4 linked regions of the Tamandua tetradactyla genome follow. The protein of the gene in region 1 interacts with the protein of each later gene in a biochemical or structural test. Links are inferred from orthologs where the notes say so. Each region holds a gene or a part of one and is shown in the gene's direction. Other genes may lie near its edges.

Region 1 (7,227 bases):
CGCGAATTAATCTTTTACTCCCCGGGGGACACAAAGCAAGCATAAAAGGGAGTAAAGTTTGCTTTTCCCTTTGCTTCTTTTACTGTGCTGATCTCACCAATGAATTTGATTACATCCTTTTGCATTATGCTTCTTTATGTTAGGACTTTTAAAATTATTTTACTATATTGAGAAAAAAACATTTCAGGTTATAAAGTGCTACTTTTAAATATCCCTTCCATGTCTAGGCTGAGAGTTTTGTTCTTTTAATAGCCTTTAAATTGTTTCTATAGTCGCCCAATGTTTGTGACACATAAGGATGGCATGGTGCTGAGATGAAGAATGACTGATCTAGTTGGACCTGCCCTCGTTCACATGCCCATGCTTTATGGAATTGCAAACACACAAATTAATTAGTGAAAATCTTCTAGGGTGAGTCTCTTCTAATATTTCTTGCCAGTTGGGTGATGGTTCTCCTTCAAATGGGACTTTGATTCATAGAACTTGTAGGCTTGAGAGCTACCTTCTCACCAGGTTAATTTGCTATCAGTATGCACATACAACAACTTACATTTGCCTATAAACTACAGAGGACAGTTTAATTCTCAAAGTAATATTTTAACATCTGTGCTCACTGTGAATAGGTTTTTGTTCTGGGCATACTTTTATTGTCTTAAGCTCTTAAATTTTCAGAGTTTATTTTAGAGGCATGTGTAAATAATTGTCTGAATTAAAATGACCAATTGTGATCATTACTGACTAGGCTAGATAAGCTGATGAATCAAAATGGTCTGTAAGGACTTACAAGTAGGAAAAGACCTCAGGAAAAAAATGGGTGGAAAGGTTTCAACAAATACATATGAAATTCCCACATTTTATATAAGGGATCCCAGATTACCTGAAATCCCTGACACACAGCCCATTACAGGCAGGAGTCAAACAATCCTATTTATATAAATGATAATATTCCCAAATAGTGACTTCCCATGCAAGGAATTCGACCTTATAAGAAATTTCATCTAAAATAATGATTGTACTTTAATCCCTTTCTAGGCTTCCTTTATAGAGTTTATGACTATTCTTTGAGTGAATGCTCAAATTAAAATGTTTATCCAGAGATATCCACAGTTAAATTCCCCCCCAGGTATCCTCAATTATATTTTCTGGATACTAGTTCTGCTCTCAAGCCAGATCCTTAAGTCATGTGCTTCGCCAATTCTTCTTGCTTTGCCTTTATTTCCAATGTCTGTATAAGATTTCCTCTAAATTTTAAAACTTCTTTGTTCTTTTTGAAGTTTGATAATCCTGTGCCTTTATCTCTTTTGCTCTGGTCAGAATAAAGTATAGCTTTTTCACTTACAGCATCATAGTTATACTAGACTTAAGAGAAACTATCTCTTGCATGTCTATTCTTAAAATTGGTTTGCTATCACTGAGGATCTGCGCTGTAACATCTTGCTTTCTAAGATACCGATTATAAAAACATTTCTGTCTTGATCATCATTCATGACCACCATTAGGAGGTGTCTCAATTTTCTGGACATACTCTTTTTTTGATGCATAGATCAGGAATTGAACCAGGTTGTCCCACACAGTGGGCCAGCACTGTACCACTAACCTACCCTTGCACTCCGGACATATTTTTAAAAGACATTTTTGTCCTCTCTGCAATAGAAATTTTTGGAATGTTTGTTCCTGTCAGCTTATTTGCAGAATTGTTCAAACTAACACTATTACTGCAGCAATTGAAACAAATGTTTCCATTTTGAAAGTGTCTACAGATTTGCAATTCAAATGAACGGGAAGATTATTAGATTGTGGTAAGTAACATGGATGTTTATATTTAATTTTTTCAAGAAACACCATCCAAAATATCCATTGTTAAATGTTTCCTGGAAGGATATAGTTGGTTCTGGATTAATCTTTATGCATTTTGATAGTATAGCTATCCTAATTCTCCATTCTCAATAGAGAAGTGTTTATTAAGATAGATCCATCATTTTCAGCAACTGAAAAGAAAGTGAATAGAATCATGACACATGCCTCCACATCAAATTAAGCACATAACACAGCTTTATTTCTGTTCAGAAGAGTCACAACCCAGTGAGAAAATTTTTATACCTTCCTCTAAAGGGACTTTATCATTTTTAAAGGATTGCTATAGAAATAAAATCTGATCTCAATTTAGTGCATACTTACAAAACACAGATTTTGAATGCACAAGTTAGGAGTTCAAGGTTTGTAACAATTGGTATTACCTATTTGTATTAAATCAGTGCTTATCAATGTGATTCTGATTTCTTTCTGGTCAAATTTGCTGACTTTTAGAGCATTAATTTTAAAAATAAAGCACAGATTTATCAGACTGATTAAATATCAAGTAGTGTGATTCAGGCAATACTAAGTATTTTTAAAGATAAAAATGAAAGGAGGGTAGATTATTAGAATAAGGAGTGTTAGTTTATTGCATGTTTATTGACTGCCATTGGAAGCAACAGCACAGTGTCTCATCTAGAGAATCCAAGACTCATAAACCTGGAAAAGATTTTCCAGAGACCATTTGATTTAATTCCCTGCCTTTATGAAGGCAAAAACCCAAATACTCTAGACAATTGGCCCATGTTCCTCTTGAACACCTCCAGGAACATTTACAATCTTTCTTGATAAAAAGAAACTTGGTTTGGTATCAACAGCAATAGTAATGGTTACATATGAGTTACTTATGAGTCCCCATTAAGGAGAGAGGGTTCATAGACACAGCATCTCCTCTGTAATTCTCACACAAGCTTTACAAGTTCTTTATTTATTAGGTCTATTTTATAGACAGAGAAATCGAAGCCAAAGAGGTATAGTAGTTTACTCAATGTCCCATTTCTGTTAAGTAGTTTTTCCAGGCGATACACACCAAATTGTCTCACTTTTAAGAAACGTAGTAGCTGCACATCTTTATCTACAAAAATGGAAGAGATGAAATCATTAAACATAATGATAAACTTATGTTCCATTTGAAGTTTTCTTGGACTATACAAATTAATGAGATAAACATACTAGATGCCTCTTATTAAGACTATCCCATATTGAATGATTCAGAACCCCAAATAGGACTTCTTTTAAATTAAGGGTGGAGTAATTTGACTACAAATCCCCAAGACTTCTTTGTTATCAGATTTCACCCTACAATTTAGCCAACGCACACACATAAGGGGCTTTCAAAGTCTGGAAAGCCCAAAGAGCTGGAACTACATTTCTACAAGGCAGGCGCGCGCGTGTGCGGGGGGTGGGGGGTGGGGTGGGTGTGGGTGGGGAGTGGACTAAGAAAAAGAATAGCTGAATCACATCTAAAAGCGAATTCTCCGAATTAAAAATCTGTAATAAACAATGAAGATGGGTATTTCATCTTTTTTAACCTCAACAGTTCTCCCCCTACCCCACCCCCGCAAAACACAAGCCAATATCCTCACTCCTTATTTTTTTTCCAAACTGGGAGATGGATCTGAAAGCAGAAAGCAGTGGGGCAACCACCTGGGTCGGACTTCCCTTTCCGCCAAGTCCTTGGGTGGGGGGGTCCGGGATCTACGGGTTCCAATCGCTCCCGGCTGTTGGCCGGGGAAGCGGGGCCAGCGCCAGATGCTGGCAAGAGCAGCGCGGGAAGGTGAGCAAGAGCCAGAGTTTGTGAGGAGTCAAAACAGTTAGGAGAGGGTTCGGGTGATGGAAGCCGAGGACCCTTTCCCAATGTTACAGAAGCGTGAGGAGCGCTAGGAGTGCCTCTTGGGCAAGAACGTCCCTGCAACCCTCCGCACCGACAAGCCGCACCGGCCACCGCCTCTCAGCGGCTAAGCTAAAAGCCGCGCGGCTCAGGGCCCGGCCCTAGCTCGAGCTCCGCGCATGCGCCGCACCCCTTCGGCTCCCGGGCCCCTCCCTTCTCTCTTCCCGACGGGTCTGGGGCGGCGGCGGCGGCGGCGGCGCGGTGACGTCAGAGCGTTGGGGCAGCTCCTGTGACAGACGGAGCTGGAGCGGCGGGGCGGCGGCGGAGTCGGGTGGCCGAGATAGCGAGTGAGCAAGAGAACGAGCAGCGACCTCAGGGGTCTAGGAAGCAAGAAAGAGAAGGAAGGAAGCGCTCAGGCGCGAGCGAGAGAAATCGCGAGCGCCGGGCTTGGGCTCGAGCCCCCGAACGGCTGAGGAGCCCGCCCGCTCCCCTCCCCTCCCCCTTCCCGGGACCGGGCCCAGCGCGCCATCCTCCCCCTCCCTCCTTCCCTCCCTCCCTCCTTCCTCCCTTCCCTCTCCCTCCCCCCCTCCCCCGCCGGTGGATGGGAGTGAAGGACGGAAGAGGCCCTGCGGAGGCGGCGGTGCAGCGCTCCGGTAAGACGGCGAGGGTCTGCGCCCTCCCCTCTGTCTTCTCAACCGTGCTGGTTCGGCTGCGGGCTCGGCCCGGCGGCCTGACGATGTGGCTGCGCCGGTCCCCTCCCTCCCATTCTCCCCTCCCCCTGCCGCCGCCTCCTCCTTCTTCTTCTCTCCTCGCTCTCAAAATGGCGGCCGCGACGGCCGTTGAGTGAGATACAGGGAGGAGGGGTGGACAGGCCTGGGAGGGCGCTGCCCTCGTTCCCCTTCTCCCCGGCCCGGGCTCGGGGGCTGTTGGTGTCGCCGCGATTCCGCTCGCGGCCCTCCCGGAGAAGGGATCGCCCTCCTCCCCTGGTGACTTAGCAAGAAAAGTATTCTTGGGTAGGAAGGGCGTGGGGAGCAGTCGCTTTCTGATCTTGGGGAAAGCATTCGGCCTTCCTTCCTTTCCCAGTCGCGGAAGGCGAGCTCCGCAGTCCCCACCCCACCCGCGGTTGGTGGCTCGGGGAGCCGGCTCAGACCCGCGCCGCCTCGGTACCCACAAGGGCCTCCCAGGCATTCCGACCCCTACCTGTCCCTAGGATGGAGTTGACCTGAGGAGGATAGCCAACCCCCCTTCTGGCCCCCCCCCCCCCACTTTCGCAGTGGTCCAGCCTCTGCTCCCACCAAGGAAGGGCGGCCTGACCCACGGAACAATCTGCAGCATCCACCCACCAAATGAGACAGGATTTTCTTTTTGCCCTCGACTCGTTAAACGGGAGTTGCTTTTTGACGTTGTAACACTGAGCTTCGGGTCCTCAACCATTCCCCTTCATCTAATTTAATCTCCCCACTTCTTTAAGAGGCAATACCTATATATTCACTTTCTTTAGCTTTCCAGGTGAGAAAATGCCTTTGATGTGGTAGGCAAATTTTAACTCTTCGCTATCTCCCTAAGCATGAGTAGAGAAGAGAGGTTTTAATATAAGGTAGGAGAGTTCAAGGTACCTTCTCTTTATTTGTTATTCTGCCTTTCTAGAGTGACTTAGCAAGAAACTCCTTGGGGAAGGAGGCAGGAAATTTTCTTTGGGGTTGGGGGTTTGCGTCCAGTTTATGTCAATCCTTTGGTTAAGAAATCTTGCTTTTAAAGAGAAGGACCAGATTTGAGGTCTCATTCTGAATGGGCGGTGTCATGCCAAGGTCCCCCCACTCCGCCCCCCTTTCTCTTAAGAAGCAATCCAGAGAGAGAATAAAGATACTGTTATTCCAACCTCTACTTTTAAATACATAATTCTTGAGATTAATAACATTTTAAAGGCTAAGCAAAAAATTTACCATTTTTGGCTTATTTTATTCTTGTTAGGAGGTGGGTTGTTTTGTGTGAATTTCATTTTGAAGCTGTGGCGGAGGAGATAGTGCTTGGGCCTTCTGTACAGTAATAATGTCATCCCTCCCCTTTTGCCACAGTAGTGTTTGCTTTAAATTTTTTGCTGCAGCAGGGCTTGATTGCTGCAGGGTCCAATCTCTTATCAGGAAAATTTCTTGCTTGGTTATGTCGGTAGTGATATGTTGAAGATATATTAAAAGCTTTACTTAACCTTTATTTTAAAAATTTTGGTATGGTTCTAAAGCATTAGCTAGCATTTAAATCTGTGATGGTTGTCTTTTAGGACACAGTTTTGCAAAATAATTGCAGTTTATCTTAAATTGCAAATTGCAGTTTATATTAAAGCGGGAGGGTAATCTGTATTTAGGGTGATTTATTTTTTCATGTTCTGTTGTAAATGATCATTGTTTGAATTGTTCAGAAGGGGAGGATCTAAAACAAATTTGAAGCTGGTGTATGCATTTTTTGCATCATAATAAGGAACCCAATTTTCACTCAAAATATTTCTGCATGCATTGACTTTAATAGAGCAGACCCTGTTTTTTTATTTCCCCCCATCTCCTTTCTAAAAAATTGGCTTGTATTTGTGGATGCTGTGAACAGCCATTGAGTGGAGAAGGCTGGGTGGAGTAGGGGAGCAGAAGCTGTGAAATACTAGATTGCCCTTTCATAGCATTTTTCTCTTGCTTATGTTTCTAAGATGATTCAGTACTAATTGTTGCTACAGCAAAGGCATTTCTAGATAGTATTAAAATCTTGTTTTTAGTTTCCACCGTTTTTTGCAGTATGTAATGATTCTGGTAAAAAGCAATGACCCTGCTCTAGAGCAGACATTTATTGTCTGGAGACTACACACACACACACCCTTGCTAATGTTTTTTATTGCTTTAATTAAATATGTGTAAATTAATGAATGCCAAGAGTATTTGAATAGAAATAGTAATAGAAATACTGCAAAAATTGGAAGAAAGCTACAGATTTACTGTTTGGCTTAAAACAGTATTCTATTTGTGATTTTTAAATAATGAACATCAAAAGAATAAGAATTTGCACTGTAGGTTCTTTAGTGTTACCCCTTGAAAGGGACTTTATTGTAAGGTACTGACATAAGAGAGGTTAAGTCCCTTTAATATCAAGTGTACGTGTGAATAAACATCTTCAAAAGAATTTTAAGTTCATGTGACAATTGATTTTGATAAACCTTTATGAATGTCAATGTATGATATATTTTTACATTTTTTGTTATTTTTAATGTGATAAGAAAGTAGAAGGGCTTGTATGTGGTGAGGAATGAGTAAGGATAGGAATGAGAAGTCACTATATTATGTGTCTGACCTGTCACTATCCCTACTATTTTGAGCTATAAAACTGCACTGAGTGGTGATTTTCAAATTATTAGTTGATAGGAGCTTGAGATAAATTGTTTTGAGTAAGAGCGCTTTATTTCTGAATGAATGTGCTTGTTTTCTGACATGTGGCAAAATCTTTTGCTTAATTTGGAGACCAATTTTAAAAATTCTTCATAATCTTATTATTTATCAGACATT
Region 2 (8,163 bases), about 5.9 Mb from region 1:
GGTGGGCTGCTGGGAAAGAAATTAGGACAAGCTCCAAAAGAGTCCATCAGGTTCCACTGGTAGTGAGAAAAGAGGCTGCACATCTTCAGGTTACCCCCCAGATAAGGATGAGGGCTCTTGCCTTCCAGGTACCAGCATATCATGTGCCCCAACCTAAGTTGTCCACATTTTCCTCACCTCCAAGAGCCATCTTTAAGAAAGCTTCAAGGCCTGCTAAGGGTGAAAGCACCTGGCCAGGGCTCCTGAGGTCAGGAGCAGCTGCATTCTCAGACAGGTGCGATGGGAAGGAGGCTTGGAGCCTACAATTCCTCAGCGCAAATTCATCTCTACCCAGTTCCTGAGGTTCTGTTGTACAGCCAACCGGAGTTTGAAATTTATGGGACAGATTCTGCTGGAGGAACCGAGTTTGGGACCCTCGAGGAAGTCACTGGTGAGCGCCATTTGCTCCAGAAGCTGCCGAGGATGCAATAAAGACAACAGATGGAGCTTTGCTTTCTTTTCAAGGTGGTGCAGGGGCAGCCCAGCCTGGGGCTGTCTGGGCCGAGCAAGGGTCAGGGGCCAACCAGAAGTGGGCATTTTAAAACCAAACATGAGGGCGTTGTGGTGGTGGCTCAGTGGTAGAATTCTCCCCTGCCATGCCAGAGACCCCCACTGAAGGCTGTGGCATTCTGTAGCCCACCTACACTCAACAAATATTTGTTGTTGGCCTTCTCTTGACCTGTACTATGATAGAAAGTAGGATGAACCTCTCTATTTAAGGCATCTGCACATATTTTTACATTCTTATTCAATTCCACATTTCTGTTGTATTTTTTACAGCAGACTTCTATTTTAAGGGCCTCGATCCTATTTTTACCGAGGGAGCCGCCCCCATTGGAGCTTAACATGGTTATTTTTCTTCATAGCACTTTCCATGACCTGGCAAAATATATTTACTTATTGCCTGTCTTTCCCTAAGACTCTAAGCTTAGTGGGGTGCTTTTTATGCACCTACAATGGTGCCTATAGCTGTTGAATGAAAGATTTTCCTCTTTCTGTAAAGCTCTTCACACTCACGCCAAGGTTCAAGGTATACAGATTTTTTAAATTAGAAAGAAACCTATTAATACTATCTCTTATGACAAAAACAAAAGATGCTGCACTGGGGACATGGGTTCCGATACTGTAGACTCGGGTTTAGCTTTGGGCTGGAGAAAAGTTGTAATTGCCTGTGACTCTAATGCCTGCCCCTCTGTTACCTGGCATCACCCAAGTTTAGCCTTTCCTACCAGTGAAACCTCATCTGTCTATGGTGATTGTTTTCAAGATTTGGGGCATTCCCTGGAAAGTTCCATCAGTCCTGTATTTGGACTTATAGGCACTAAACCTTCGAGTCATTCTTTTACTTTCATTGAGGCTTATTAAGCGAGTGTTGGCTACATGCCTGTTTCTTGGGGGTGGATATCAGAACAATCAGCACTGTCCCTGCACTCAGTGAGGTTCCTTGGGGGAGAATGGACACCTCCAGGACCAAAAGGCTGTATTCACGAGCCTCCTGTAAACTGTGCAAGGCTCTACTTGAGCTCAGAGGGCTTTGGATATCAGGGAAGTCTTCCTGGAGGAGGTGGGATATGAGTGGGATTTCAACAGGCAGAGGGGGTGGGAAGGGCTAGCCAGGGTGGCAATCAATAAAAGACAGGCCAAGAGAGGAAGGGAACCTCTCTTGGGGAAGGAGGCTGAGGGTCTGGTTGGGCCACAGAGGTGAACTATAGGATGTAAACTGAAGAAGTGGGTTAGTGTCGCTCTGGGTGAGCCTTAAATGACCGACTGTGTGGTTTGTACTTTTTCACAATGGCATCAGGATACCAAAGCAAGTTTTGGAGCCAGGGATGCTTGTTGCAAAGTGGGATTTTAGGAAGATTATTCTGAGGGTTGTTGGTGGACTGCTTGGGTAGAACCCAGAAATTCAAAGAAGAAATTTGAGGGAGAGAAGTTTTGGGAGGGAGAGAAAGAAATAGGAGACTTTGGACTGGGAAGACATGGGGAGGGGGAAAACACTGACAAATGAATGGATTTGTTTGACAGAGCTTATGAAGGGCATTTGGTGACTGTATGAATGAAGTGGGAGCTGGGGAAGGCGATAATTTGGGGCAATTTGACAAGGGCTTTGTGCCTCAGTGACTAGAAGGATGATGCAGTGGCAGAAAATGAAAATCATTTTGGAAATTTTGGATAGGGCAAAAGGAGGATCTGTTTGGGTTTTAGACACAGAGAACTAGAGATGGTGATGGTATAATAGGTGGACATATCCAGCAGGCCAGTAGCAACCAATCAGCCATCTGGTCCCTTGTCCATTCTGATCCCTGCCCTGAGCTGAGGGCTGGAGGCCCTTCAAGCTTAGCAGAAACTACTGATCAAAGGAATATGGAGAGATGAGGCTGAATCAAGCCCTTGATGACTTTGAGGTGTCTGGTTCATCTGACTCAACAGAGAGTTAAATATGTCCCATATCTTCCACGTTTTCCTAACAGGCCTATGTGCATCCCATCACCATTTGGGAATGTGATGTGGCCAAAAGTCCTCATTTGGAGTTTGAGGTTGTATCCAGGCCCAGTTGAGCCCTGCCCCACTCGGGGGTAGTACCTGGCCTCTGTTTCCTATGTCTCAGAATTTGGGGCGGGGAAGATATTGGGGTGCTCATGAATATTCTGAGAGGCTGTACCATTGACTCCCTTGGTTCCAGCCAAGAAAGACCTTTTTCTGGGACCCATGCCTTTGCAACCCCCTTCATAATGGTTTTGAAGGCAGAAAGGTGAGGCAGCCCACTTCCACATTGGCTGATTTTTAACTTCTATTCCCTTTTGAGGCTGTCTTCAGTGTTCATTTCCACTTTATTTTCCCTGGATGGGCATACTGGAGGCAGGGGTAGGGCAAAGGGAGCTCGCTGTTACTGGTCCTGCCCTGCCCCCTGGGTCCTCCTCTCAGGGAGAAAGTCAACCAGCAGGGACATGGAGATCAGTGCAGTGCCTTCGGCATCTCTGAGAACCCTGCCAAGCAAAGCCCTTTAATTAAGATGGGGCCAACACAGCAGTCCTGGCAAACATCAGTTCTGCATCCAGCTAGGTGGGAGGGGCGGTGGCTGGAAGATGATGCCATTGTTTTCTGAGGGGCCTGGCCTGCCATTAGGTGACTCAGTAAGTTTCCCAGCACCTTGGCCAGGAGGCAGGGACAAGACTGCAGCTTTATCTATTTTTTTCCTTTTAGGGTGGGACTGCTCTGCTTTGGCACTTGGTTCACAGGAAAGTGTTCAGTAATCATCCCCATGCCTGTGATCCCTGCAGAGACCGATAGCCTGCATGAGCTTCTATGGTGTCCCAGGCCCCAGACCTTGGGGGTAATACCTGCTTAGGTTTAACCCCCAGCTCCTCTTTACCTCTCTGGACCTCGTTTTTTCCAATATGTAAAATGGATGCAATAAGTCCAGCCTCACAGGCTTGTTGTGAGTGCAAATGAGACAATGTGTGTAAAGTGCTTAGCTCTGTGCTCTAGCCCAATAAATGGCAGTTACTATTATTATTATTATTCTCCTTTCTTGAGCTATTAGATAGTGGTGGTTAATGGTGAGGTTTCTGGACTGAGATGATCCAGACTCAGTGGGTTTGAATCTTGAGTTGTCCTCTTTCTAGTTGAGTGACCTTGGGCAACTTCACCTCGCCGAGTTTCAGTTTCCTCATCTGTAAAATGGGGATAATAACAGTCCCCATTTCACAGGGTCATTGTGAGGATTAAATAATGCAGGTCTAGTGTTTAGCACAATTGCCAGCACATAAAGATTGCACCAAAAAAGTGAACTACCATTACTATGATTATCATTTTTTCAACCCTATATCTGTCAGAGTCTAGATTAAGGTGTCATCTTTCTCACAAATTCATTAACCACTTCTCTGATCTTCATTGATTTGGGCACTTCTTGCAATCCATTTTGCATTGTTTCTGTTCATGTCCATCTCCTTCAAAAGGGCCTCCAGGATCACCTTGCCATTTCCTTGAGGCTTGTCTTACAAATAATTTTTTGGGTCCAAAAAACCTCAAGAATCCAATCCCCAAAGCACTGAAATAAGAATTACACTGTATATTACACAGCAAATGTTACTAAAATTGTTTTTAAAACAGTTCTCTTCCTCCAAATTTTCACTCCCTAAACAGCTGACCATCTCCGTTTTTCCCCTGTCTGAGCTACCTCTCCCTGCAGAATATATATATATATTCTGGGTTCTTTTGGGATCTGAGAGAGATGAATACACATTCATACACACATGACTCAGCACATATTTAAGTAAATATGTGCCCAGATATATACAATATAAAAATAAACATATATATGAATCCTCATGGGACCCCCAACAAATCCATTCATTCATTCAACAAATATTTGAGTTCTCATTGTGTCTGGGACAAAGCTATCAGTTGGGATAAAGAAGGCATAAGAGGTTTCATTTTTCACGGAACTTAAATTCTATTTGAGGAAGAAAAGGACAAATACACAATTTTGCCAGTGGAAGTGCTGGAAAGACAACACAGAGCTTAATGAGCGCGATTACGGGGAATTAGAAAACTATTCTGTTCTATTGGGTGATCGGGGATGGTCTGGGAGGTGAAATATGCGTCGACCTTCATTTTATAAGTGGGGACACTGGAACTTGGGCACTTAAAGGCCTTGGAGGCTAAAAACAGGAAGGCGGCCTCCCAACTGCTCTACAGTGGTGCCACTTCGCCGAACCGCAGATTGTTTCGGTGAACCTTGTCAAGTCCAAGCCGGGTTCCCTGCGGGTCCGAAGCGCTTGCGCAGAAGGACACCACCTGTCTGACGTCAACGCGCCGGGTCCAGACCCGCCCCCCTGTGACGCCCTCCTTGCCACCGCCCAGCCCCGTACGCTCTTGCGCTTGCGCGCATGCTCCGAGCCCCGCCTCCGAGCGTCACAGAATGGCCTCGGACACCCAGGCAATCTCTGACGTGTCGGGGAGGAGCCGGGCGCCGAGGTGCGCGGAGTGGAGCTCAGGGCTGTGGAGAGGAGCGGAGCTGAGCGGCTGGGCGGGCCTGGCCAGGCCAGCGGAGCAGAGACGCGGGTCGAGCGGCGGCGAACATGCGCTTTTGACACATTGAGGTGAGCCTGCTGTGCTCGGGGCGCTCCCGCGGGGGCCGGGCCAGGCTGACGGCGCCGAGGCCTGTCCCTGGGGATCCCGCGGCACCGGGAGCTGCGCCTGAGGCCCCGCCGGGCCGGGCCGGGGCCGGGGTTCGGGACGGCCAGTCCGGGGGGTGGGCAACTGTTTCAACCGCTCTAACTGTCCCCTCCTCGCTCTGGACCGAGGTGCGGCCCGCTAGGGACGCCTGAAAGGGAGCGAGCACAGCGGCCTCTGGAGGAGGTGCCGCGGTCCCAGGGTGGGGTGAGGAACGGAGACCGGACGTGGCCCCGTGGGCCGGGGCGCTGGTGGCGCAAGGAGTAGCCCTGTTAGAGGTGGCAGCGGCGCGCCCAACCCTCCACCCCCCTTAAGAAAAAAAAAGAAAGAAAGAAAAACCTCATCTGGGAGGTTTGGAGCCGGGTTGGGTTTGGAGTCCTCAGCGCAGCTTTCCCGCGGGGGGCGGGGACGGAAGCTGCTTCGGGGCTCGGATGGCATTGCCATGACTCCCCCCCGGATCTGCTGAACATCTCTTTCGGAGATCAGGAAAGTGTTATCATATGGGTTCGAGTTGCTTGTGCTCGTTCCTTTCAGGTTGGTAAGCAACGAGATAACCCTTTAAGTTTTGCCAAGGAAGTGAAGGTTCATTTTTCACGACTGATTGTTACGTTCCATTTCCGTGGCTCGTGTACACCCCTTAGAACCCTCTTGCCAACATCCTTTGATCCTCATCATCCTTTGGTTGTGACTGATTCTGTTAGCGCCTTAACGGATGGGGAAATGGAGCCTGCTGGGGGAGAGATGTTAAGTGATTTATACTTGGGTACAACCAGCTGGTGAGTGGCTTAGCTTGGCTCAGAACTTAGGTCTCCAAGCTTGGAGTTCTGATTTCTTTTCAACTGACTTTGATACCCTTCTCGGCTAGGAAGCGAGGCAGAAAATTTGACTTGTCAAAAGATGGAATACCAGAAGCTAGTAGATAACTTACTGAAATATTTTTGAGCGCACTGAAATGGCTAGTATAAAAACCGCCACTCAGTTATGAGAAAAATCCTACTCTGAGGCTTATTCGTAGGTTGTTGGTTAGTTATTTTGTCTGATTAATTGTGTTGTTTTAAATCGATTTATGAAGTAGGGTAGTATTAGCTGAGTCTTGAAATGAATTAGTTGGTGGGGACAAAATGCAGCTTTAAGTTATGAGTTGAAGAGAAGTAAAGGGGAACTGAGTGAGGTATCTCTTCTGAATTATTATAAAATTATTATTTAAGCAAAAAGACACTTTTGGCTGGCTTTGGTTATAGGTTGGTCAGGTCCGGATTCTATATAGAATTTGCTCAGTCTTTGAAGCTGTAGTTCTGTTTTGACTTTAAATAATTGAAGTTGGATAAGGAATGCTTAAAATAGCTAGATACCTTGGTAGAAATTTAGTTCGTACTTTGGTGACATCTGCAAAATTTATTCTCATTTTAAACCATGCTGAGATAAATTTGATTACTAAAGCTTAAAATTACTTCTGACATGAATTTCTAGCACATCAAACAGTAATAAAAGAAGTTTGATAGGACCGAAAGGGAGGCCATATTTATAATCAACTTGAAAAGTTAAAAATTCTCCAAGAATTCTGGTAAAAACTCACGTATTACCTACAGTGAACTCCAGAAGTACTCTTTCAGCCTCAATAATTCATTCTACAACTATTAGCAAGAAGATAATATGCAAAATAGATTTTCTTACCATTGTGCAGAGTAGTTTCCTTGTAAATATAGCATTGTAGACAGAGTGTTTTATACTCGAATGGGTTGATTTGAGTCACTGAATAGCTGAAGGTCATTCACAGGATGGTAAAGCCTGATGTAAAATTTGTGATACTTTTGCCATCCGTTGAGACATGGTACTAGTGGAAGATTGGGGGGAAGGGTAAGTATATAATTATCTGCCTTCATTTCAGTGTCAGAACATTGTGGATGTACCATTAAAGCATTTCTTTAGCAGTATATTTTTCTGTATTGGCTAACTTTCTATAGCTTTACTATCTCTAGTTACATAGATTCAAATAACATGGTGAACACATCCTCCCACTGTAACTTGAAGCACTTTGAACATTCTGTTTTTAAAGCCCCTGAAACATTCCTTTGAATATCTGCCGTCATAGCAAATTTTTGTCATTTTATGAAGAGTCTAATTTTTAGAAAGGGTAAGTCTGATGAATAAAATTAGAGTGATAAAGCTATATAATACCAGTCAGGAAACGATACAAATGAAATCTGACCGCAAAGTAAGAACTTTTTGTTTAGTTCTTAACATGGCTCTTAAAAGCTATTTCAAAAGGGAAATTTTTAAAATGTTTTCGCTAATGGTAGTATCACTGGAATATGCATATAGTTTCCTGAATTTTAAGGAATTATTTCTATGTTAGAATTTTGAAGCATATTTACTTTGTGCTTACACTTCATAGATTAACTTCTGAATCATCAGTCTACTACTTAACGTACATTTGTGCTGTGTTTACTATGTGCCAGGCTCTATTCTAAGTACTTTGCAAATATTAACTCAGTTTTTAAATTAATTTTAATTATTCTCATTTTACAAGTGAGGAAATGGGGCACTGAGTGGTTGAGTAACTTTCCCAAGTTTGTTGAACTAGTAAGTGAAATCTGAATTAAAACTCAAATTAGTTTTAGAGTTTAGTCGTGTAACCACTATGCTGTCCTGTACCTGTGGTTCCCGGTCAAATGTTTTTACTGGAAAAGAAGGAAGTAATTTAAGTAAAATTTTCAGATGTAGTTTATAATACTGTTTGAGTGGCCAGTAAGCAAGTTTACAAGATTGACTAGAAAAATTGTAGTCAGCTTTCAATTTACATAATAAGATTCAGTAAGAAAATAAAGGAACTTGTGTGACATATGAACACATATTTAAATAACTTTGCTAGAATTATTCAATCTGGGAGTAAGTAGTTGGACAATTAGAATACAAGAGACAGAACTAGAATCTCAAGAGGAAACC
Region 3 (8,326 bases), on another chromosome or scaffold:
GGCCCCAGCCCATGTAAAAAACAAACAAACAAACAAAATATAATAAAATAAGAAAATGTTTAAAGATGTTTCCCTTTCTTCCTCCCTTCCTTCCTTCCATCCTTCCTTCCTTCTCTGTCTTTAAAAAAAAAAAAAAAAAAAAAAAAAAAAAAAGATTAAGACCCATCTTGGATTGAGTGGGTCATATCTCCATGGAAACAACCTACTCAAAAGACCCCACCCAACAATAGGTCTGCAGCCACAAGAATGGATTAGAAGACCATGGCTTTTCTGGGATACATAATAGTTTCAAACCATACATGGAAAGTATGAGGAGGGTTTTAGAATACTCATTCATCACAAAGGGGGAAGGATAACCTAGCAGATACCACCTTAATCAAGTGGCCAAAATAAACTACAGGACAAATGGAAATTGTGCACTACCTGATAGGATGTACCAAGAATACAGCATCACTTCTGTGATATTTCTGATAAAGGTTCATAGCCTGAGTCTCATCACAAGGAAACGTCAGACAAACTCAACTTGGGTGACATGCCACAAAATAACTACAACTCTTCAAAGTTTCAAGGTTGTGAAAGGCAAGGAAAGGTCAAGGAACTGTTCCAGACTGACAGACTAAAGAGACATGACAGTAAATGTCAGGAGAGACTTTAGACTGAGTCCTTTCACTACTACAAATTTCACTGGAACATTTGGTGAAACTTAAATGGGGTCTGAGATTAGATGGTAAAATATTTAATGTTAATTTTCTGATTTTCATGGTTATATAGTGTGGTAGTTAGTTTAGGCATCAACCTTCAGGAAATCTAAGATCTAGAGACACAGACCTGCTTTTAGTAGCTTCAAGTCTAATAGGGGAGCCAGGACATCCACATCAGTGGTGGAAGTGAATGCTAAAATGGAGTGGGCAGAGCTTGAACTAGAAAGGATAGGCTCCCATCTGTATAGCACTTCACAGTTTACAAAGTACTTGACAACGGTTATCTCAGTTAATTTTCAGGCAGCAATGGGAGGCCAATGCTACTATTCAAGTAGAAACCTCAATCGTTGCCATTAACAATAATAATAGCTGTCACTTTGATCATCTACCATGTGCCAGGTACTGGACGGGACATTAACTGTAAGATTAAAGAGCATCCAATGAGATAATGTATTTGAAATTGCTTTACAATCCCATGACCAGGGTGCATACGGTTACTCTTGTGTGCAGAAGTCTTGGACTGGTCCAGGGGGCAGCTGGAAAATCCCAGATTGCAGTCAGCGGGGTTAAGGATTGGGAGTATGCAAGCCAGCACTGGGCACCTTTTCATTTCCTGGAGGTGTCATACACATCCATGCCTCAAAGCTTTTGCTCATGGTCACCCACTGCCTGGGATGCCTGTTTGCTTGGTAAGCTCCTGGTCTAGCTCCAATGTTACCACTTAAGCACAGCCTTCTGGTCTTTCCCTCTCCACCTCTTCAGTAGAATAAATTGCTCCCTCCCTGAGTTCCAAGGTCACCTAGTCCACATCTAATGAAGCACTTAGCACATAGTGCCGTCACTCATTACCAAATGTGGATGGGGTCAGAAGGCATTAGGGGAGGCTGACTAGTCACCAAGGGGCCTTCCTGGACAATATTTATTATCTCGGTGAACTTACCAGGGTCTAATTTCAGGTCTTGGTTTCTCATCAAACAAACATCCAGGACTGATTTACAAAATCAGAATGTCAATTCAGGGAGGTAGAATTCTAAGATGAAGTGGGTAAGTGTGTGGGCTGTTGGGCAAGATTGCTTGGGTTTGAATCCTGCCTCTGCCCTTCCAGCTGTGCAAACTTCAGCATGTGACTTCACTTCTCTGTCCCTGTTTTCTCACTCCCCAAATGGGGATATCAGCATTTACATCATAGGAACACTGTATAGGTTAAGTCAAATAATATTTTTAAAGTGCTCAGTCAAGTACTGGACACAGTGAGAAGTCAGTAAATTCTACCAATATTTATTGATAAATTTATAATGAGATTCAAAGGTATCAGGCAAAGACCATTTGTTCATTTCCCAGGTATTTATTGAGGTTTTTACAATGTTTGAGGCTCTGAGATGAATGCTCAGAATATAGTGAAAAATCAGACACGTGCTTTCATAGAGCTTATATTCCAGCAAGAGAAGATTACTGGATCTTGGTGTAGAACCACAATTTCTTGATCATAAATTTCAAATTATAATAAGTAATTACAAAGGACAAGCAGAGGACATTTTTCCCCCTTTTTAAATTAATTTTTTTTAAAAAATATAACACCTAACAAACAAAAACATTCTTTAAAAAATATATATAACAAAAAACAAACATTCTTAACATATGATCATTCCGTTCTACATATATAATCAGTAATTCACAATATCATCACATAGTTGCATATTCATCATCATGATCATTTCTTAGAACATCTGCATCAATACAGAAAAAGAAATAAAAAGACAACAGAAAAAAATTCATACATATCATACCCCTTATCCCTCCCTTTCATTGATCACTAGCATTTCAAGTTACTAAATTTATTTTAACATCTGTTCTCCCTAATTATTTTTATTCCATATGCTTTACTTGTCTGTTGATAAGGTAGATAAAAGGAGCATCAGACACAAGGTTTTCACAATTACACAGTCACTTTGTGAAAGCTATATCATTATACAATCATCGTCAAGAAACATAGCTACTGGAACACAGCTCTGCATTTTCAGGCAGTTCCCTCCAGCCTCTCCATTACCTCTTGACTAACAAGGTGACATCTATTTAATGCGTAAGAATAACCTCCAGGATAACCTCTCAACTCTGTTTGGAATCTCTCAGCCATTGACACTTAATTTTGTCTCATTTCTCTCTTTCCCCCTTTTGGTTGAGAAGGTTTTCTCAATCCCTTGATGCTGAGTCTCAGCTCATTCTAGGATTTCTGTCCCACGTTGCCAGGAAGGTCCACATCCCTGGGAGTCATGTCCCACATAGACAGAGGGAGGGCAGTGAGTTTGCTTGTTGTGTTGGCTGGAGAGAGAGGCCACATAGCAGAGGACATTTTGAAAGTAAAAGCTATAAAGATTTAATCTGTACATAATGGTCAGTAAAGGCCTCATAGATGAAGTGGCACTTGGGCTGAGACCTGATGAATGAAAAGGAGTTGGCCAGAAAAGGTCTAGAACCTAGGGCAAGGAATTAGAAGAAGTGAAGGAAGCCAGTGAAGAGGGAGCCGGGTGAATGAAGAAGGAAGCAGGATGTAATAAGACTGGAGAGGTGGCCAAGTCCCTGATGAGGCCACAGTTGGGAGTTTGGAATTTATCCTGAATGCAATGGCAGTTCCACCAAAGGGCTGGTTTTAAGAAGGAAGTAACAAAATCTGGCTTACATTTTAGAAGGATTGATCTGGCTACTGGGTGGAGAGTGGACTATAAAAGGACAAGAAAGGAAGTAAGGAGCCCAGTTAGGAAACTGTAGGAGTGGTTGTCAAAGCAACGACTGGAGTGGTAGCAGCATAGATGATCAAAAGGGATCAGAATCAGGATATATTTTGGAGGGAGAGCTGACAGAATTTACTAATGGATTAGATGAAACTAGAATTGGGCTTGGACAAATGTGTGAATGAATGGAGATTTTGGCTTTGGCAAATGGGAGTTTGAAAGAGCCATTTAACTCAATCAGGAAGACTTTGGGAGGAAGTAGTTGGGGAGGGGGTGTTCCAAGTCCGCCATGTTACTTTTCAGATGTCTACTATTTAAGTGGAGCTGTCCAGGAGGCAGTTAGATAGATGAGCCTGGAGCTCAGGAAAGGTCAGGGCCACAGATATCGATTTGGACATCATCAGGACAACCACTGGAGTCAATGAGATCACCTAAGGAGAGAGTGTGGCTAGAGAGGAAAAGAGGAAAAAGCAGGGGATAGAACCTCCAACATTTTACAAGTCTGTGACGCACAGGACACTGAGAAATGTTAATAAGTTGGGAAGAAAACCAGTTAAATGGTGACACAGAAGCCTAAAGAAAAAAAGTGTTTCCAGAAGGAAGAAGGGGTCAACTGCAGCAGTTGCAGCTGAAAAGTTGCATAAGATAACAGCGGTCCATTGGCTTTGGTAATATGTAGGTCATTGTAATTTGATCAGAGCTGTTTAAGAAAAGACCAATTAGAATAAGTTGAGGCAAGATGAGAGGTGGAAAGTGGAGAAACAAGCATAGAATTGTGCTATAGAATGAGCACTAAAAATCGGAGCAGGAGGAGAAAAGTGAACTCATGGATTTTGTTTTTTAATTACTATTATACCATATTTGTAAGTAGATAGGAATGATCCAGAAGGAAGAAATTTGTGATGCAGGAGATACAAAAGGGAAAACTGCATAGTGTAGAGTCCCTAAAAACACTAAGATGATAAAATTCATTGTTTAAATAGAGTAGAGAGAGCCACCTTAGATGGCCAGGATCTGTTCCCACATTGACAGAGTGAAGGCTGAGAACAGGGAAAGTTACACTATCAGTGCCGCCTAGTGTGAAATGAAAATATGAGGCTCATTGTTCAAAAATTATTAAGAATTTCAAGACTGCGACAGCGGAGTAGTAAACCAAGCATAGAGGGCTCTTCAAGCCTGGGGCCTGTGTAGCTGCAGAGTTTGAATGGCAAGAAGCCGGTTCTCGTTGAGTCTGTGATGGTGACTGTGAGGGGTGGGGGTGGGGCGGTCCTTCGGGTAAGACCCTTCTACGTTCTGGGCCTCAGTTGCCTCCTGTAAGTATTGGAAAAGATGACTAAGTGTATTTTCAGCTCCACCGTTCTACAAAACAGAAAAGCAAAGTTTCTTCCTTTCCAATTTCCAATCCCGCCAGATTTGAGCCCTGTGCTTTCTGGAAGGCTCCAAAGCATTTGGTGACCATAGCAACTGACGCCAAACTCCTAGGCCTTCGGCTCCGCCCACCGCTTCATGGACGCCTCGTTGATTGGCTGAGCAATCCACGGCCAATGGACTGTGAAACGGGATGTTTGCCGCGCGGCCAATGGCCACCGCCTGGGCCAGAGGCGGGAGAGGAAGAGAAGAAGGCGGGCTCGGGCCGCGGGCTCACGTGCGTGTTTCCGGCTCCGCTGCGGAAAGCGAAGGACGCGAGCCGTTGGCCCGACGCGACCAAAGGAGCGAGGAGCGCTTGGGGCGCGAGTGCGGAGTTCGGGGAACGGATAGAGGCCGGCGCGATGGGTGGGGACCAGGAAGAGGAACGGTTCGACGGCATGTTGCTGGCCATGGCTCAGCAGCACGAGGGCGGCGTGCAGGAGGTAACGGCCCCGCGCGGCGTCGGCCCAGCCGGCTTCAGCGTGGCCTGCCTCTCCGGGCGGCTCTTATCACGCTCCCTCTTCCCTTCTTTGCCTTCGAGGACCGAGATCCACCCCTGGGGCTCGCGGGCTTCCGCGAGTCCCCCACTTTCTCCCCGCGCTCCAGCTTCCGGTCTGGACTCTCAGCCGGCGTGTCCCTGTCTTTTCATATCAGTTCCGGCCCCCGGGCGCCTTTCTCGCTCCTATCGCTGCCACTTCGGCGTCCAGAACAAATCATTCAGTTTATGAAACCGAGGCCCAGAGAGGGGTGGGGACTTACCTGAGATCATCCTTTAGGCTCTGACCTAGCCTGAACCAAGCTCCTTAGGCCAGTGTGCTTTTCACAATACTTTACTTATTCTGTTTTCATTGTGCCCGTTGAAACCCATACCCAGAGTCTTGGGTTTTCCCTTTTGATTTCCCACATGGTTCCAGTCCGGTGCTCCCATTGATGGCCGCCCCCGAAGAGCATTCCTTAGGATAAACTTTGTTAGGCATTGTGATTTGCATCTACCAAGATTTGCAGTGAGCGGACTAGAGTCTGTGGGGTGTTTGTTGGGGGTGGAGGGTGTGTTAGCACGTGGCCTTTTTAAAAAGGTCTTGAATGGGAGAATAGGAGGCCTGTGCTCACAATTGGTTTCCACCACCCACCAGCTTGGGACCGTTCCACCCCTCCTCAAGCATCAGTTTCCTTATTTCTGAGAAGGGGCTCTATGAATCCCTGTTTTCCTGAATCATTGTAGAGAAGTGGTATCTTGAGGAAGGACAGTGGAGAGTTTTCAGTGATCAGGCTTGTTAGTTCAGCCAGCATTTGTTGAGTGATTGAAGTGTGCCAGACACTCCCTGGGCTGGGTCTTGGGGATACAGACTTGAGCAGAAACCTCCTTGTCCCCGATGGAGATAGCAAAGTGCTTTTCCAAAAGCATGATTCATGCTGAGTGATCAGTCCATGAACTTTAAGGGCACGTAGTGTAGATTTTGGAGTTTGTGTTTTGAAACAGAAACAGAAAGTGAGAAATAGGAAAGCCTGTCAAGATCAGTCCAGAGCAGTCATTCTGTTTATGAAACTAAGGCCCAGAGAGGGGTGAGGACTTGGCTGAGATCATCCCTTCGGCTCTGACCTAGCCTGGACCAAACTCCTTAGGCCAGTGTGCTTTTCACAATCCTTTGCTTATTCTGCTTATCATTGTGCGCAGGTTTTCACTGTGCTGTCCATTTCAATTATTTCCCTCAGGTGTCCATGGTGTGCAAGGGTTCCCGAGCCCTGGGAAGTAGAGAGGGTATAACTAATTTGCAAGTGTAAAATGTCTTTCTGCCCTCTACCTTCCCCTAAATCTTTGAGACAAAATGAGATTTAGGATTGAGTTCAGTTTTCAGTGGATTGGAAAAGTATCCAGAAGCAGGAATTGTATCGTTGAGATAAATTCTAGCATCAGATTTAGAACTATATGGGCAAATAATAGCACTTGGATATGCTAACATTAGGTCACTACTAGCTCTATTCATTAATCAAGAACTGTACTGAGCATGGACTCTGAGCTGCATGTGCCAGGCATTGGGGAAGGAGTGAGAATAAGCTATGGCACCTGACTCCGGCTTGCGAGGAGTCCATGCTCTGGTAGTGGCCTGTTGTTCTGTGCTGAACACTGCAAAGGGCCTTCCCTCCATTACCTTGTTTGATTTTCACAGGGTCCTTTGAAATAGATCTTGCTACTATTCCTGCTTTACAGAGTTAAGACACTTCCCCAAGTTCACAGCTAATAAATAATCAGTTTGACACTCAAACACATGCTCTTAACCACTTGGCTACAATGGTACCTTAGCCAGAGTTATTTGGTCTTGCCCTTCTTTAAGGTGGCTTCCTTTCCTCCCCTCTTTCTGGCTGCCCTGCTAGCTCAACCAGTGCCACTCTGGATAGCTTTTTTTCCTTTTAAGAGTATTTTAAGCCCTGGGTGCAGAGGTTTGAATGTTCTACATCCTCAGGCTACTTCTAACACCACAAGAAGTATGGAACCATGAGCACGTATATACACAAGATATGAGAAATCCACTTTCCAAGTGGTTTGGCTAAGGTTAGGTTTGGCTTCCTGGCAGGAGTGACTAAGGAGGCCTGTGGAAGACTCAGGTGAGAATAGTTAAGTCCCAAGTTCTCTTGAACTTAGGAAGTTGGTTCTTGTGCAGTGGAGGATTCCCAATATGACATGCCCCACAAATTCAGTCTTCTGTCTTTCAGCTTGTCAATACCTTCTTCAGCTTCCTACGACGTAAAACAGACTTCTTCATTGGAGGAGAAGAGGGAATGGCTGAGAAGGTATGTGTTGGGGGCCCGCTCTTCTTTGGGTAGCTCTATCTCTTGAGAAAAGCTTACCTGGCTTTCTTTTGGCATAATAGTAACCTTCAGCAGAAGCAAAACACCAAGGCCAGGGAATAGGGGAAGGGAAGCAAGCTGTCGTTTATTGCAGCCCTACAATTTGTCAGCTGCTGTATCTATTCTACAAGAGAGGCAGGTGTTACTACCCCCATTTTACACATGAGGACATTGGTTCATGGATGTTTTGCAACTTATCCCAGGTCTTGAACTGAGTTGTGGGAGAACTGGGGTTGGGACTAGAGTCTACTCTAAAATACGCCTTCTGTCACTGGCATTATTCTTTGTTCCTTTTTCATTGAAGAGGTTTAACTAATTATAATCAGAGGATGTTAGAAATTGAGGCTTAGAAGACGAGAATTCAAAGTCAACCAATCCCAACTGGTCTAGATGCTGTGACCCAAAGCTCAAGGGTTTGTGACTTGAGGTTTGCTATACTGGATCTGAACCTCTCTCCCCTGATACTGAATTGTCTTCTGATTCCTAGGGGTGTATTTCATTATAATTACATCTTTTGAAAATTGATACATCATATAAAATCACTGAACTATGATTTTATAACTTAAATATTTGTTTTCATTTAAGCTTCAGACAGTAACAAGGAGACATTTTATAAAGAGCTTTTCTGTGGCATAAGTCCTC
Region 4 (8,210 bases), on another chromosome or scaffold:
ATCATAACCCCATGTGATAGGTAAACAGAGGCACAGAGAGGTTACTACCTCATTCAAGTTCACCAACTAACAATCAGAAGAGTCGGAATTTGAGTCTAGTCAGTCTGGCTCCAGAGCCCATGTGCTTACCACAACTCTATATTTACCAAGTTCCCATTTATACTTGTATTTATTTCTGGGCTCTCTATTTTCCTCCATTGACATTTGTCTGCCCCCCCTCCCCGCCTCCACCACCTCTCAGGCCAACACCACATTGTCTTCATTACCATAGCTTCCCAATAGAACTTAGCAGGGAAAATATCCCCTTCTAAATTTTCTTTTTCACAATTTTTGGCTATTCTTAGTTTTATATTCTTTCATCAGCATTTTAGAATCAATTTTTCAGGTTTCACAAAAATTCCTGTTGGAGTTTATTGGAATATTTTCACATACTTAGATTACTTTGGGGAGAATTTTGATACCTTTAAAATATTGCGTTTTGCTATCTGTGAGCCTGGCCCAGTCCTACATTTATTCACTGCTTCTCTTATGTCCTTAAATACAGTTTTATGATTTCCTCAATGAAGTTCTTGCATATATTTGTTGGATGCATTTATTTCAAATAGTTTTGTGTCCCCTATAAACAGTATAAATATATTTTCTAACCTCACTTCCGGTTTGCTTACCTCACCCCACCTGATACCCTGTTCTCTGTACTTCTGATATGTAACAAACTAACAATTGCTTCCTTATGTGATGAATAGTCTTGTTTTCTGACCCTGTTCTTTAAGCTCGGTTTGATTAATCCAGACTGCAGGATATCAAGAAAGATTAACCCTTCTTGTTCATGATTTTTGCAGGCTGTGTTGTCTCCTCAGATGAGTCTTTAGGACCCTCAAGTTCTGTGATAGAAATCTTCTACCCTACATCTTGCCTGTGGTACTGGGTGCGTCACAATTGCTGAAAGAGCCATATTGCTATATTTCCCACAATAAGATTACTTTGCTCTTCCTTCAATCTCTTTATTCTATGGAATCCTCAACCACGATTCCCCTTTGATCTTCAAAAGTGACTTCCATACTTAAAGATGCAGCTCCCCTCTGGACTCATGCCTGAGACCTTGTCTTCTGCCAGAGGATGTGAGGACTAAGATCTTGGTTTGTAGCTGAGAGTTCTTTCAGAAGAAAGATCTTTGTGAAAAGTTCTAGTCCTGTTTTAGAACGAGTTTTATCCCCACAGACCATTGGTCTACGAGATGCTCATGGAAAACAAAATGTTTTTTAATAGTGTGAAGCCCAGAAAATAAAATGTTCTGAGATTTTTTAATTGTGTGAAGCCCTTTATAGTAAATTGTATTCTTGGAGATTTACACAATATTTTAGGTGTGTTAAAGGTTTTAAAATTCTTCTAATAAAGAAAACTGTTTAACTTTGTTTATACCACTACTTTTCAAACATTTTTGGCCATAGAACTTTTTTTTTGAGTTTTTAAGGGACACATTAACATCCACACACCTCACATTGGGAAATACTGATCTTGTCTATCCCTCTGTTTTCTGGTGTATATAAACAAACAAAGCTATCTATTCTAGCCTGTGTCTTAAAGACATTTTGCTGCTTCCTGGATAGTGATGCAAAGCCTATATCATAAGGAAGATTACTTTAAGATCCATTTCAAATTCTTGATGTTTAAATCTTAGCACCCATTCATTCTTATATCCTCACCAGAAATAAAGTGATTTTGGGTTCTGTTACAAATTTAGGTGTTGTAAATATACTATATACTTATGATTTGAAAGTTTTAAGACATTGGTCTTGCTGAACAAGGAAGTTGGTACCATTTCTATATCATTCGTTGGAATTTCCATATGTTCTTGATATTCCTTTACCCCTGACCTGAATCACCCTGATTAATCAAGAGGTGTTCACAGCATAAGGCAGAAACACATGGAAAAGAACCAGGCAGACAAATGCACTTCCTGAGACACTTTTTTAGAAACCGGGAGAATAGTAGCAAGATGTTGAGAGTATTTGACTGGGCAGGTTGCTCATTTGAGGTTGTCCACCTAGCACATATCTGGCTTAGGCTTTGATGAGCCATGACTTAACAGAGAAGAATGACAATATTTTTATCCCACTTTGAGGCAGTTTACATTAAAACACAAGTACATGAAGTATTTAAATATGAGACCAAGAGCTGGTTGCTCTTATCAGATATAACAAATTATTGAATATGCTGTTACCTCTCAGCTGCCTGAAGGCCAAACAAAAATGGAACCATGATAGTTCAAGGTTGCTACTTATCAATTCCCGTAGCCTCAATTGTAAAGATAAGAGTCTGCCACTCTTCACTTTCACCTTCCTCTTCTTTTGTTCTATAATTTAGCCTGATCTAATGAGCTCTGTGTGTATGCTTCAGTGCCCTTTATTACATTAATGGTATAAAGAATTCAAATTGTGGCAAGTAGGCAGTTTGAGGAGAGATATGTTAATATTTTCCTTATAGCCATCATGCCTTCTTCACATTTGATTTGAACTCATAAAGCAGAATTAAGCATCATATATCCCATTAATTAAATGTTTACACCAAGCTAAAAGGTATTTGGGGTAGGTTCTTTTTCAACCCCATCCTGCATGAAATTCTAGAACTATTTTGCCTTTCCTTATCCCTTTCTTTTTTCCCTTTAGTCTATTCCACTAAACTTCCATTTCAAAAACAACCAGTTGTATGATGCCTGAACTAACATGTCTTTAAAATTTTTACAAATTTGATTGCTTTCTCTCAAGGGAGTGATAGGAAGACAACTACAATTTCTCAGAAGTCTGGTTTAGCTGTCTGAGTCTAGCCCCTATGCAGATTAGGCCAAGGGTTTGGTAATGTGAAATTTCCAATTCCCTAAAGGAAAACGATAGCACATTGCTCATTAGAGCATTCTGAACTTGCCTGTGCAATCTTTATGCTACCCTGCAATTTCCTGTTGGTTATAAATGAAACCTTTCTGTTAATGCTGCTTTTGAATTGAAAAAAAAAAACACATGTAATTAATCATAGGAGGTTGGGGGGATTCACTGAACCTGAGTTACAGAGGAGAAGCTGGACAAGGCACTAGGACCTAGCAGGCATCTATCCACCCTGGCAGGAATTTCTTGCTTGGAGCTCAGACAACAAAGGCATAGAGAGATTGGTTTTCTTTCTCTCAGCATCTCCACCCAACCAGCAGAAAACCGGTGAGTGGGGCTTTCAAGAGATTTTCAGGCAGAATGTAACAGATGTCAAACGGGAAAAGCACAAGAAGGCAAAGCGTCTCTCTCTCTCTCTCTCTCTCCCTCTCCCTTGTTGCTTTATTCTAGTGGATTTTTTCTTAAGTCTCTACCTGGGATTTGCCTTTGGAAAAGTGAGTTTAATGTTTCTTTGTTTTCAATGTGAGGCTTATTTAGAATAATACCACCCCGATCCTAAATGAAAACGAGATGGTACTGGCACGACTGGAGAAATGCTTGCTCCTTGTCTTTAGGAGGTGGGGTCTTTTACCACTGCAGGTTATTTGACACAGACAATGCTGAGCTCAGCACAGGTCATGGTGACATTGGAAGAAAAGGGAACAGAGCCTGGCAAACCTACTAAGCACCAGCCCCCTTTTATCTCCTGTCCTCCTGATCCCTTGCAAAGATCTCGATGGGGCATTATGTAGCAGCCAAGCCCTGCTTGTTTGTGAGTCCTTTTATCCCCATCTGTGAGATGCATGTTAATAGTTTGGTTCCTAGGATGTCATTACCTTTGCTAGCATTTGGGAGTTTGGGTTGTATTTGGTTTCATGTTTTGAATCTTTTTTTCTTTTTTTTTTTCTGATTCGGCAGGAGAGAGGAAAGCAAAGACTGACAGATGACCATCTTTTGCCTCAGTTAATGCACCTGGGCAATAGACATATTTGGAATGAATTGCCCACTGTGAGGACAAAATACCCCATCAGTCAGGGTAGAAACCCAGAACAATGAAAGGTGTGCTTGCTTCTAAAGGTCCCATATGTTGTTCAGGGACTCATGTGGGAATCTTTCAACAATTAAATTATTCCATTATGAGGTTAGGTTGCAGTGGTGGGGAGGGGATGGGGCAACTTAAAAAAAAGAGAGAGAAAAGAAGAAAAGGATTTTGTGACCAAATGGCACAGGGGAAAGCAGACCTAATAACTTGTTAAATAACGGATTTTTCTAATCCTTTTCTTCCAGCTTATTTCTTATGAATGTTGGATAGCTGCACCAGCTTGGTGGGGAAAGGGTTTGATGAATAGCACAAAGACGCTGGCTAGTCCCTGGAGGCTGTTCCTTTAAATGAGAATCCTGGTTTATTCTGGGGGGAGGGGATGCACACATTAGTGCAGGGAAGAGGGTTTGGAATAAAATTAAAACACTCTCCTTCTCAGTCATTGTATTGAGATGCAAAGACTGCTTCCTAAACTAGAGATGCTAACCTTGGCTAACTCTTGTTCTCTTCAAAGGGAATTTTGTTAGAATGTGGATTCATTTACAATTGTTAGTCCTGTGGGCATGTGTGAGGAAACAGATGCCAGTTTAAACGTATTTAGCCCGAAGTTACATTTTGATAGGAGCCACTGTCACTAAGTCTCAGGGTTTTAAGCTATTTCAAAATCCTTCCCTTTCCTCTGCTTGGAACAGTGCCAGAAGTGCCTCCCTCCCTATCTCTCATCCCAGCCCCCACAACCACCAACACCCCCTAGCTCCTCCTTCTTCTCTATTAAGATCCATATTCCTGCAGGTCAGTGGCAAGTAGCAGATGGGTCACAGGCTTTTTCCACCAGTTCTTTTCACAAGCAGCTGATCTGAATCTGGATCTGGCTAATATTTAAATTCTATTCTTTTTTTCCTTCTCATACCCTTTTCTTTTCCTCTCTTTACCCCTCATTCCCCCACCCCTTTCTCCAACCCTCAGGTCTCTGAGATTCCACCAAAATATGGAACTTGATTTTGGACACTTTGACGAAAGAGATAAGACATCCAGGAACATGCGAGGCACACGGATGAATGGACTGCCTAGTCCCACTCACAGTGCCCACTGTAGCTTCTACCGAACCAGAACCTTGCAGGCACTGAGTAATGAAAAGAAAGCCAAGAAGGTACGTTTCTACCGCAATGGGGACCGCTACTTCAAGGGGATTGTGTACGCTGTGTCCTCTGACCGTTTTCGCAGCTTCGACGCCTTGCTGGCTGACCTGACTCGATCTCTGTCTGACAACATCAACCTGCCTCAAGGAGTGCGATACATTTACACTATTGATGGATCCAGAAAGATTGGAAGCATGGATGAACTAGAGGAAGGTAATTCAATGGGTGGGTGATGGTCCTTGAGGGGAGGGTGACACCATTGTTTATAGTTACATTTCTTGGATTACATCAAAAGAAATTAGGAAATATGTTTGTCAATGAGTTAATGCTCAGATTTCTTATTCTGCACGTATTAACAGCACTATCACCATTTATATCCTTAGTTTCTTCTGGGGTGGAAGTGATAATGCAGTGTGCTAATCCACCAGAGTATACAAAGAAAAATCTGAAATGTGGCATTTACGCTACCTCTTGTTCATAATTAACCCTGAGTAGCATTATTGAGGCAGACCACAAAATAATTAGAGGTGTTATAAGGAAGAAACGTTGGTTGGGTTAGCAGAGAGACGGAATTATGGCCAAGTTTCCTTTGAACTGCTGAGACTATTTTGTGAATTGCAACTCATTGGAAATATGTACCTTAAAAGCAGGACTTACTGGACATATTCACAGATGATTATACTTTTAGGTAATTGGCCAATGCTCAGCTGTTGCTTCTAAAAAGCCCACTTCAGGGTGTGTCCCTTAGGCTGAGGTCACTGGGAGAAATGCCAAAGAAAGCTGTAGGTATGTCTGGTATTTTAAAAAAGACTTTTCTTATTAGAATAGGAACTGACACACTGTATCTAAATTCCTTTCAAACCTCGGTAGATTGTGGTTTTGGACTCTATTTTCTAACTAGATTGCTGCAAATACGTCAGCCTTTGTACCCACCAGCAAAACAGGGAAAAATCTAAGCTCTTGCCAAAAGTTCCTCAGCCTTAAAGTCTTCTTGATTATCTAATAAATAGATCTTGGGAAATGTTCTTAATATTCTATCTTATCCAATCAATTATATTGAGAATACTTCCCTACCCCTACTTTTAAATTGATGGTTATAACATATATGATCAGTTTAACCTGAAACAATGATTTAAAAGACAGCCTAAAGGAGTGGTGATAATGAAAATATTCACCCGAACCCCCTCCCACACTCTCCAGCCCTTCCTCATCACTCTCTCCATTCCCTAAGCAAAGATGAGTTTGGAGCAGGCAGTTATCTAGGGAAACCAAATTTTGAAATGGCCAAAAAGGAAGGAGCTAGAGTATATTAAATAACTTGGTATGAGAGTGTCCAGCCTCCGCTTTACTGCTTCTAGGTTTCTTATGTTCCTAGACAAAGGAGAACGCAGGGCTTCCTTTGTAAAAGACCACAGTTCTCTCAAGTAGCTGCTATTTCCCAAGTTGGGCCAAGTGATTAGTTCCGGTTACTTATGAGAGACAATGAGCATCCAATTGCTGTATCTAGGTCTCAGACCTTAAGGCTAAGGTTTTTCTGCATAATTGACCTTGAAAGGCAACCTCAAGGAGGCTTAAGTTACTTGATCGTGTGTTGGATGGTCAGACAGAGGTTAATTCTAGACCCTTCCTGACCTGTCTGAGCACATATCTTAATGTAAAGGAGAGCCAGGGTAAACGAGGGCGTGTTGCGGGAGCTGTCCAACAAAGTTATCAATTGGGTGTGTTTCTTTTGTCATTGTAAAATCCATTTCTCAGTTGAGTTTCAGGGTTTTTTTTTTTAATAATTTTTTATAAAAAAGCACCCTGAGTCACCAGTTGTGATCTTCTGAATGCTACAGTGTATTCTAAGGCAGTATTTTGAACCAAACAGCGTTGTATTAGGAACAAGGATTAGAATGCTTTCTTGTGCCTGATATGAGAAGTATCATGTATAGATTTCTCCAACAAATCCATTTTAATATCTCCTGCTCAAAGGCAAGTCCTTGATCTTGATTTTGATTTTTCTCCCTGGATTTGTGTATACGTGTATGTGTTGAGAGTGTGTCTGGTGATAAAGACACACTTCATTTTAACTAATAAATGTAATTTTGAAGAGACTGCAGCTTTCTTTTCCCTTGGGTCTTGCCAGACTGTACTCCACTCATCAACCACTTCTGGAAACAGTGGTACATCCTAGTGACTATATGGTACATCCATGTGACTCGGCTTAGTTGCATTTGTTCATTTCTCATCTACAACAGGCAGTAGGCCTTGATGCCCTACTAATATTGAGTTCTGCCCATTCAGTCAAGGAAATCTCTGAGAAAATGTTGAGAAATGTGAACAATTTTCCCACTACCACTGGGATGAGGAAGGTAGAGAAAATGTTTTTTTATCCTATTTTGTCCTTTGGAACCACTCAGTATATATAGGGATGGGTCAGAAGTCCCCTCACTTCACTTGTTCACCTTTGAAAGAGGTTGAATGAAAGATCAAAAATGTATACACTTTGCTTCCCATGAGGTTTAAAGTTGAAAGCAGGTGGAAAGTTTGGAAAGATCCCACAGTGAAGAATCAGAGTAATTGAGTTGTAGTCACAGAAGCAGGAGATTGTAATGGGAAGAGAAGTCTTTGGAATCAGACAAACCTAGCTTCAAATCCATGGTCTGCTACCGGCTATCTTTGTGCGACCTTGGGAAAACCATTTAGATTTCCTGAATCTCACTTTTTCATCCATAAATTTGGAATAGCAGCATTGAGTATTAAATAAGAGAATGGATATGAATTGCTTAGCCTTCTGCTTGGCACACAGTAGCACTCAGTAAAAAGTAGCTATTATTTTTTGAGTTGTCCTAGTTTATAGCTGGCTATTACATGATCATTGGGTTGTTCTTAACATCACTGTGACTAATGTTCTCTCTTTTACAAAATGATTTTATTAAGGTAGAATCTGCATTCCATAAAGATCACTCATTTTAAGTGTATAATTCCATGATTTTTAGAAAATTTGCCTGGGGGTGCAACCCTAACCGTAATCTATTTTTAGACCATTTTATCAATCCCAAAAGAAATCTTGTAAAAACTAACCGTCATTCATTCACTTTTTCTCCTTAACCTCTCCAGAACGTAGGT

What was found.
Region 2: the proteins of PAFAH1B1 (region 1) and NDEL1 form a complex in vitro, tested with the Homo sapiens proteins (3 studies listed by BioGRID). The link is inferred for Tamandua tetradactyla from reciprocal best matches to the Homo sapiens genes PAFAH1B1 and NDEL1.
Region 3: the proteins of PAFAH1B1 (region 1) and NUDC form a complex in vitro, tested with the Homo sapiens proteins (3 studies listed by BioGRID). The link is inferred for Tamandua tetradactyla from reciprocal best matches to the Homo sapiens genes PAFAH1B1 and NUDC.
Region 4: the proteins of PAFAH1B1 (region 1) and DCX form a complex in vitro, tested with the Homo sapiens proteins (2 studies listed by BioGRID). The link is inferred for Tamandua tetradactyla from reciprocal best matches to the Homo sapiens genes PAFAH1B1 and DCX.

What each region holds. Positions count from the first base shown.
Region 1 is NC_135332.1:56,417,540-56,424,766, forward strand, and holds the start of PAFAH1B1 (platelet-activating factor acetylhydrolase IB subunit beta), read left to right. Parts: upstream 1-3,953; 5' UTR 3,954-4,338; intron 4,339-7,227. UniProt on the Homo sapiens protein: Regulatory subunit (beta subunit) of the cytosolic type I platelet-activating factor (PAF) acetylhydrolase (PAF-AH (I)), an enzyme that catalyzes the hydrolyze of the acetyl group at the sn-2 position of PAF and its analogs and participates in PAF inactivation.
Region 2 is NC_135332.1:62,284,436-62,292,598, forward strand, and holds the start of NDEL1 (nuclear distribution protein nudE-like 1), read left to right. Parts: upstream 1-4,976; 5' UTR 4,977-5,144; intron 5,145-5,317; exon of another isoform or gene 5,318-5,993; intron 5,994-8,163. UniProt on the Homo sapiens protein: Required for organization of the cellular microtubule array and microtubule anchoring at the centrosome. May regulate microtubule organization at least in part by targeting the microtubule severing protein KATNA1 to the centrosome.
Region 3 is NC_135328.1:199,318,517-199,326,842, reverse strand, and holds the start of NUDC (nuclear migration protein nudC), read left to right. Parts: upstream 1-5,021; 5' UTR 5,022-5,199; coding exon 5,200-5,280; intron 5,281-7,257; exon of another isoform or gene 7,258-7,441; intron 7,442-7,549; coding exon 7,550-7,627; intron 7,628-8,326. UniProt on the Homo sapiens protein: Plays a role in neurogenesis and neuronal migration. Necessary for correct formation of mitotic spindles and chromosome separation during mitosis. Necessary for cytokinesis and cell proliferation.
Region 4 is NC_135353.1:58,844,151-58,852,360, forward strand, and holds the start of DCX (neuronal migration protein doublecortin), read left to right. Parts: upstream 1-4,948; coding exon 4,949-5,312; intron 5,313-8,210. UniProt on the Homo sapiens protein: Microtubule-associated protein required for initial steps of neuronal dispersion and cortex lamination during cerebral cortex development. May act by competing with the putative neuronal protein kinase DCLK1 in binding to a target protein.